Linked DNA regions of Callithrix jacchus. The protein of the gene in region 1 interacts with the protein of each later gene in a pairwise test. Links are inferred from orthologs where the notes say so. Each region holds a gene or a part of one and is shown in the gene's direction. Other genes may lie near its edges.

Region 1 (3,745 bases):
TGGGCAACAGCATGAAGCCCCAGGCCCAGGCCCTGCCTCCATCCCGGGCATCCTGGTGCCAGGCACAGTCCTGCCCCAGGGCCTTTGCACCTGCTCGTCCTGCCTCTGACTGGCACTGCCCCCATCCCCTGTTCTCGCTCCTTGGGGTCCGTTTGTGGAGGAGGAAGCCCTCTCTGACCCTCCCTGCCCTCTGTTCAACCTTGCACCTTCCTACCCCGCCATTGTCCCAGCCGATTTTCCCCGCAGAGGCGTCCCCACCATCTGACCTGCTGGGAATTCAGCTCCTGAATTTATCTCTGTCTGTCTCCAGGCACCTCACCAGGGCAGGGGCCTTGTACCCCCCCCACCCACCCCAGGGCCCTGGAGCAGCCGGGCCTGGCACACAGGCCCTCCATAAAGGTGTCCAAAGAATGGCTTCCCTGAGGAAGGCGGCATGACCGCTGCCTTTCTGCAGAAGAGGAAACTGAGGCCCGGCGAGAACCACCGCCCAGCCAGAGCCAAGGTCACAGAATACGTCCCTGGCACGCGTCCAGGTCGTGCCACCGCAGGGCCGGCGGCTTCGACCTGGGCAGCCGGGTCCCTTTCTCTGACAGATGGGGAAACCGAGGCCAGGCCGGCCGCCAGGCTGGGGCGGGTGGCGGGGGCCGCGGCCCGGGGCGGGGGCGCGCCGGGCCCAAGGTCACCGCGGCGGGCGGGCCCCGGGGAGGCGGGCCGGGGTGGGGATCCGCAGGCCTCCCCGGGCGCGCGCGTCCCCCCCCTCGGCGGCGCGCACGGGGCACGGGCGGCGGCGGCAGGTGGAGCCGGAGCCTCCGCAGCAGCCGAGCCGCGGCCACCGCCGGCGTCGCCGCCATTAGACAATAGCGGTGGGGCCGGGGAGCGGGGAGGCGGGCGGCGGGGAGGGGCGGGGAGGGGCGCCGGGCGCGCAGGAAGCGGGGCCCGGGGCGCGCCGGGGCCGGGCGCGCGGGGAGGGGGCGCAGGAAGCGGGCGAGGCCGGGCGCGGGAGGCGGCGGCGGCGGCCCCGGGAGCTGCCGATCCGCGCCGGGACAAAGGCGCGGCCGCCCGGCGCCCCGAGCAGCCCGAGCCGGGGCGCACAGCCGGGGCGCAGCCCGCGCCCCCCGCCGCGACTGACATGATGTTTCCACAAAGCAGGCATTCGGTAAGCGGGGCCCGCCCGCCCGGCGCCCCCTCCCCGCGCCCCCGCCCCGCGCCCCCCCAGCTCCCGGGCCCTGGCTTCCCTCTCGGGCTCCGAGCCCCGCGCGACCCCCGTCCTGCCGCCGACCCCCGGACACCCCCTCAGTTCCCGATTCTCCCCCAGCTTCCGGGCCCCGAACCCCCCCCCAGCTCCCGGCTTGGCGCCCCCCCCCCCGCCCGCCGGGACAGGCAGGGCCTCGGACGGCCTTGGCCTCGGGCCTGGGGATCTCCGGGAGCCCCGCCAGGCACCTCCAGCGCGGGGCTCCTTTGGGGGCCTGTGGTGGGGGGGACAATCCGAGGCGTCCCCCCTCCCGGAAGAGAGCGCGTCCCCGAGGAAGGGCGCTGGGATTCTGGGGTGGGCTCCCCCCCGGAAGATTTAGGGCGCCGAGAGAGACCCCCTTCCCCAAGGGGACTTTGCAGGGGGGACTCGCTGCCCCTCAACTTGGGGAGGGGGCTCCCTAGGGCGCGTTTCCACCCCCCTCGGAGGCACCCACTCCCGGCGCTTTGGAGGGGCGGTAGAGGGCGTACCCTGCCCCCCACCTAGGGCGGGCCTTAAAACGCACCCCCCACTGCCTGGGGGTGGCGGGGGACGGGGCGGCTCCGGGCGCACCCACCCCCTCAGCTTCCCCCGGGGAGAGGCGGGGGCAGGAAGCGCGGGTGGGGGCCTTGCCAGGGGCGGTAAACACGGGCCCAGGAAGTGGGGCAGGAGGGGGGGCGCCGCAGCTGCGCGGCCGCTCCCTCCTGGCCCGCCCTTGAGGGGGGCCTGGCCCACGCCTGGGCCTGACCGGGGCGCCCCCCTCCCCACAGGGCTCCTCGCACCTACCCCAGCAACTCAAATTCACCACCTCGGACTCCTGCGACCGCATCAAAGACGAGTTTCAGCTCCTGCAAGCTCAGTACCACAGGTGAGGGGCGGGTCGGGGTCCCTGCGCCCGAGAGGGTGAGCCCCCTTGTTCTGCACGGACGGCAGATTGGGAAAATAACGTGTGCTAGGCTCCGACCGAATCGCTTGACAAATACTGAATTCCTTTCTTTAAACAGCCCCAGTTTGTAGAGGAGGAAACCGAGGCACAAAAAAGTTAAATAATTTGCCCAAAGACCCACCTGTGTGACTTCAGAGTCCCTCCCTCCTCCCCAGTCTCCCCCAAGCCCCCCCCCACCCCCCGCTGGATAAAAGACCTTGCGCCAACCAGCTTAGAGCCTGGACTCACCATCCCCCCAACCCCAAAACACATTTTGTAACCTGGTTATGTCTGTCTTTGGCCAGTTTTGGAGAAAGGGTTCCCAGCGCCCATCACGTTCTCCAAGGTGCTTCTCCTTTCAGAAATCTGACCTTTCTGAAGAGTTTGCCATGTAGCTGGTCTAAGGCGAGGGAACTATTGAGTCCTCTTAAAGAAATGTAAGCCCAGGCCGGGCGGTGGCTCACCCTTATAATCCCAGCACTTTGGGAGGCCGAGGCGGGTGGATCACGAGGTCAAGAGATCGAGCCCATCCTGGTCAACAAGGTGAAACCCCGTCTCTACTAAAAATACAAAATTAGCTGGGCACAGTGGTGCGTGCCTGTAATCCCAGCTACTCGGGAGGCTGAGGCAGGAGAATTGATTGAACCCAGGAGGCGGAGGTTGCGGTGAGCCGAGATCGCGCCATTGCACTCCAGCCTGGGTAACAAGAGTGAGAATCCGTCTCAGAAAAAAAAAAAAAGAAAACAAAAGAAAGAAGCTTAAGCCCAGAGAGGTCAGGGATTTCCTCAGGGTTAGTATCCACAGCACTGAGGAAGGGGCAAGGCTGAGGTGGGCACCAGGTCTCTCTCCTGGTGTAAGGATGCAGATTCCCACGTGCCCTGCTCTGGAGGGGCGCAGCAGACCTGGGAGTCTGGAGGAAGTCAGGCCACGCTGAGGCCCACGTTTCAGCCTGGGGGCCCTCTCCTGACTGCAGTTTGCCCATCCTGGAGGGACCCTGGACTTCCTCCAAGTAGAAAGGGGAATCTCGATTTTGAAACTATCCAAACTTTCGGGGTACTCCCTGTGTGCTAAAGACCATATGTGCTTCCTCGTGAGGTCCGGCTGTCGTGCCCATTCTCAAGATGGGCACACTGAGACCCCGACAGTCAAAAGCACTGGAACCAGCTTTCCAGGAAGGCCCCAGAAACTTCTATTTGGGTCCCTGGAAGCATAGGGTTTGAGACTGCCTGGTGGGCCCTGGGGCTGACCTGATTCCACAGGGAAGAGATCAGATGGCCTTCGCAGTGCTGTGTGACCTCCAGTAAGCCAGACGCCCTCTCTGAGCTTTGGAGTCTCCATCTGCTGGGCCTGGGCTTTCTGCTATCCAGAAAGCCCTGCCATATCAGGCACACACTGGATGTTCAAGGCATAACAGCCCCTGGGTGGCCGGATCAAGTCTCACGCTGTCGCCCAGGCGGGAGTGCAGAGGGGCAATCTCGGCTCACTCCAACCTCCGCCTCCTGGGTCAAGTGATCTCCTGTCTCGGCCTCCCAAGTAGCTGGGATTACAGGCACGCGCCACCACTCTCCTAATTTTTGTATTTTTAGTAGAGA
Region 2 (3,745 bases), on another chromosome or scaffold:
GATTTCACACTTCCACCGAGAATCTCAGTCCCGAGCTAGCGTTTGTCTCCCGTTCCTTCAAGCCCGATGAGGGGCGGTGTCCCGGTTCTAGGAAACCACTCCCGGGGCTCTCTCCCTTCCCGAGATTTCTGCCTTTCCACCCCTGGTGCTGCTGAGCTAAAGTCTTGATCGACAAAAACACAGCAAGGGGGAAGAAAGATCTACGCCCACCTCCGCATTCGCACCGAAGGCTCCAAACTCCATGCCTCCTCTTTATTCCCAGAAACGACTCTGCGCTGATCCTCAGTGCCCAGACATGCACGAGGGGCTCTCTACGTACTTTCGTTGTTTCCCTCCCGTGTGCTTCTTTGCCCACCCCTGCCCTCCGACATCAGATAGTTTATTATGAGCTTCTGACTTCACGGTCCAACGCCATACGGCGGCCCCAGTCGAGTGGACCCACCCGCGCAGGCCGGGCTAGCGCTGAGTTCCCGGAACTCAGGTCCCCACCGCAGCCAGAGGCTGCCCCGCGGAGCTTCGGGCGCGGACTGTCCCACGGTCTTCCGCCAGCGCCAAGGTCCGGGAAGCATGGAGCGGGAACAACCTCTCTCAGGAAACTTTGCACGTCCTAACAATCTGTCTCTGCCTCTTTGGCTCCTTTTCCTTCCCACCCTCCCAAGTTGCTTTTCTTGTGACATTTTTTTCCCCTCAATTTTTGGTCTAGGAAGGTAGAGAATTGTGCAAAACTGAAATTATTTCAGTAATCCATGTTTTAAAACTAAAGAGAGGACAAAGAAAATAAAAGATCTCTCAGCCACAATACTGTCAGGGCAATGCCATCACCAAACATGGACATCTCGGTGAAACCACACCAGAAGGGCCCAACAAACAAAATTGACGGAATGGAAGTGTTTAGGAAAAGAGATCTAATTTAAAAAAAAATCTTGAGACAGAAGGTCCGCATGCAGTCTTCCCACCACCCCTGTCCCCACTGGCTGCACTGCCCTCCAATCGCACCCCTGTCCCTCAAACCTTTCCACTGGGACCTCTTTTTGCCCATATTTCTCTAAACTTGGGAGCAGCCATGAAAGGAAGGAGAGCCAATGTTTCAACCCCTCTCTCCAAACCCAGAGGAACCTCCACCAACCACCTGGCCACCTTCTCTTCCCTTCCTTCCGTTCCCGATGTGTGAGTAGGTTAGAGAAACTGAGAAGGGGGGTGGGGTGAAAGTTAAAAAAAAAAAATCAGGAAGGCGTGAGCTGGAGCGGTGAGTGTGTCAATCAGAGGGTTTTGTGCCTGGGGGCTCCTAGCGGTTCGGAGCAGAGGTGTCCCAGGGCGGCCCCACAATGAATATGAATAGGAATCCTTGCTAAATGGGACAGCAAAGCGCACCGCCCTGAATGATGGCACGTCATCCTAACTAGCCCAGGATAGATAGGAGGGCTCCTTTTGTCTCTTTTCTCCGCCACAGCTCTATAAAAGCCCCTCTTTTTCAGCGTGAGGTTAGTTCAAGCACACACCAACTAGCTGTCCAGGAAGCAGCCTAACCAGAGAGAGGGGCGAGGGAGGGAGAGAGGCGGGGAAAAGCAGCATCTCAGCTTTTCTTCTCACGTCTTGCCGCTGAGAAGTGGGTTCCTGGGCTGTGCAGATTTTTTTTAAATTCAAGATTTTCTTTAATTTCCCGCCTAAAGCCTCCCCACGGTAGGGCCGCATCCCCAGTAATAAAATGAATTCTGATTCGAGCTCTGTCTCCAGCAGAGCTTCATCTCCGGACATGGATGAGATGTACCTGAGGGACCACCACCACCGCCACCACCACCACCAGGAGAGCCGTCTCAACTCGGTCTCGTCCACGCAGGGCGATATGGTGCAGAAGATGCCCGGGGAAAGCCTCTCGCGGGCTGGCGCCAAGGCCGCGGGAGAGAGCAGCAAGTACAAAATCAAGAAGCAGCTGTCGGAGCAGGACCTACAGCAGTTGCGGCTGAAGATCAACGGACGCGAGCGCAAGCGGATGCACGACCTGAACCTCGCCATGGACGGACTGCGCGAAGTCATGCCCTACGCGCACGGGCCCTCGGTGCGCAAGCTCTCCAAGATCGCCACTCTCCTGCTCGCCAGAAACTACATCCTCATGCTCACCAGCTCCCTGGAGGAGATGAAGAGGCTGGTTGGCGAGATCTACGGGGGCCACCACTCGGCCTTTCACTGCGGGACCGTGAGCCACTCTGCCGGCCACCCCGCACACGCGGCCAACGCCGTGCACCCGGTGCACCCCATCTTGGGAGGCGCGCTCTCGTCCGGCAACGCCTCGTCACCGCTGTCCGCAGCCTCACTTCCCGCCATCGGCACCATCCGGCCTCCCCACTCGCTGCTCAAGGCGCCCTCCACGCCGCCCGCGCTGCAGCTGGGCAGCGGCTTCCAGCACTGGGCCGGGCTGCCCTGCCCCTGCACCATCTGCCAGATGCCGCCGCCGCCGCACCTGTCCGCTCTCTCCACCGCCAACATGGCCCGGCTGTCCGCCGAGTCCAAGGACTTGCTCAAGTGAGCAGCGGGCGAGCCCGGCTGCCTAGGAGGAGGGAGAGCGGCGGGAGGGGCCGCGGTGCCGGGCCGGGAGGGAAGAGGGAGGCTGTGCGCTCGGCCCACGGGAGGGCGGGCTCCGGGGCCCGCGGCATCCTACCCTGTCTGAGAGATCTCAGACTCCACTTGACCCCGGAGGGAAAAGGACCAAAACCAAACTGCAATTTCTAGGTGGTAGCAAAGGGGGACTCGAACCACACGTCGTGTGTTTTGCATGCATGCTTCTTTTCCCCATGCCGCGCCAGTATTTCTCACTGCCGTATGCTCTTGTCAAAACTGCATTTGTTGTATAAAGATGGGATCGGTGTAGTTAAAAACTTGCGAAGGAACTTTTGAGTTGGCTTTCTCTGACTCTGTGTTCTCGCTTTGGGAAAAGACGGCCATCCCTTTTGTGCAAAACAAATGTAAATATTTTCTTGAGATGGATGCGATTATGATTGTCTCTGTCCTCGCCATAGTTTTTCTAGAGACAATGGAGAGAGAGAGAGAGAGAGAGAGAGAGAGAGAGAGAGAGAGAGAGAGATATCAAGACCCAAGTTTTGAATCTCAACTCCGGTCCAGGGCATGACACCTCCTATGTGGGTTTTCCTTTCGACGCAGTGTAGGTCAAAAGAATGCATGCAGGCTTCTAAATGAATCTTGTCTAAACATGTTGTGCAGGCCGTGGTGCCGTTTTCCTTGTAACAAGGATTTATTAGTGAATTCTTCCAAGTACTCCATATATCTGTCTGTGGTTGTATGAAATGAAAAGGGGCAGAGTGCAAAGACCCACACTCACGCACACGCGCTTCTTCTCCCACCCACATCCCCTTCAAACTTTATTCCGAACCTTCCTCTGCTGTTCCGGAGGCGCCATTGTAAACGCTTGGCTCCCTCTAGTAGCTTGCCCCACCCCCTCGCTCAGTTATTCTGCATGCGGGGTTGGCTCTCTCTATTATCAGCTTTGAAAACTTATTCTGGTTTTGGGAGGGGTGCTGTTTTTATTTTCCTGAACATTTGCTTGAAATATTTTGTTAGGGCCTCAAAGACAATACCTGTCTTTATTTTTTATATATTCTTGATAACTATGATATATTTATTGATAACCAGTGTTTCTGGATGAGATTTCAAATAAAAAAGAACCTTTAAATCGTGGCTTTGGCTTTGCCTAAAATCTTAGCAGATGGGGGTAGTGGCATAGGGAACATGT

The links.
Region 2: the proteins of TLE5 (region 1) and OLIG3 interact in binary tests that used the Homo sapiens proteins (3 or more experiments, as listed by UniProt). The two-hybrid records come from large-scale screens. The link is inferred for Callithrix jacchus from reciprocal best matches to the Homo sapiens genes TLE5 and OLIG3.

Annotation. Positions count from the first base shown.
Region 1 is NC_133523.1:2,836,668-2,840,412, reverse strand, and holds the start of TLE5 (TLE family member 5), read left to right. Parts: upstream 1-1,129; coding exon 1,130-1,156; exon of another isoform or gene 1,157-1,157; intron 1,158-1,998; coding exon 1,999-2,096; intron 2,097-3,745. Other genes in the region: uncharacterized protein LOC128930549, read right to left, coding at 316-1,131. UniProt on the Homo sapiens protein: Transcriptional corepressor. Acts as a dominant repressor towards other family members. Inhibits NF-kappa-B-regulated gene expression. May be required for the initiation and maintenance of the differentiated state.
Region 2 is NC_133505.1:144,278,379-144,282,123, reverse strand, and holds OLIG3 (oligodendrocyte transcription factor 3), read left to right. Parts: upstream 1-1,484; 5' UTR 1,485-1,705; coding exon 1,706-2,524; 3' UTR 2,525-3,690; downstream 3,691-3,745. UniProt on the Homo sapiens protein: May determine the distinct specification program of class A neurons in the dorsal part of the spinal cord and suppress specification of class B neurons.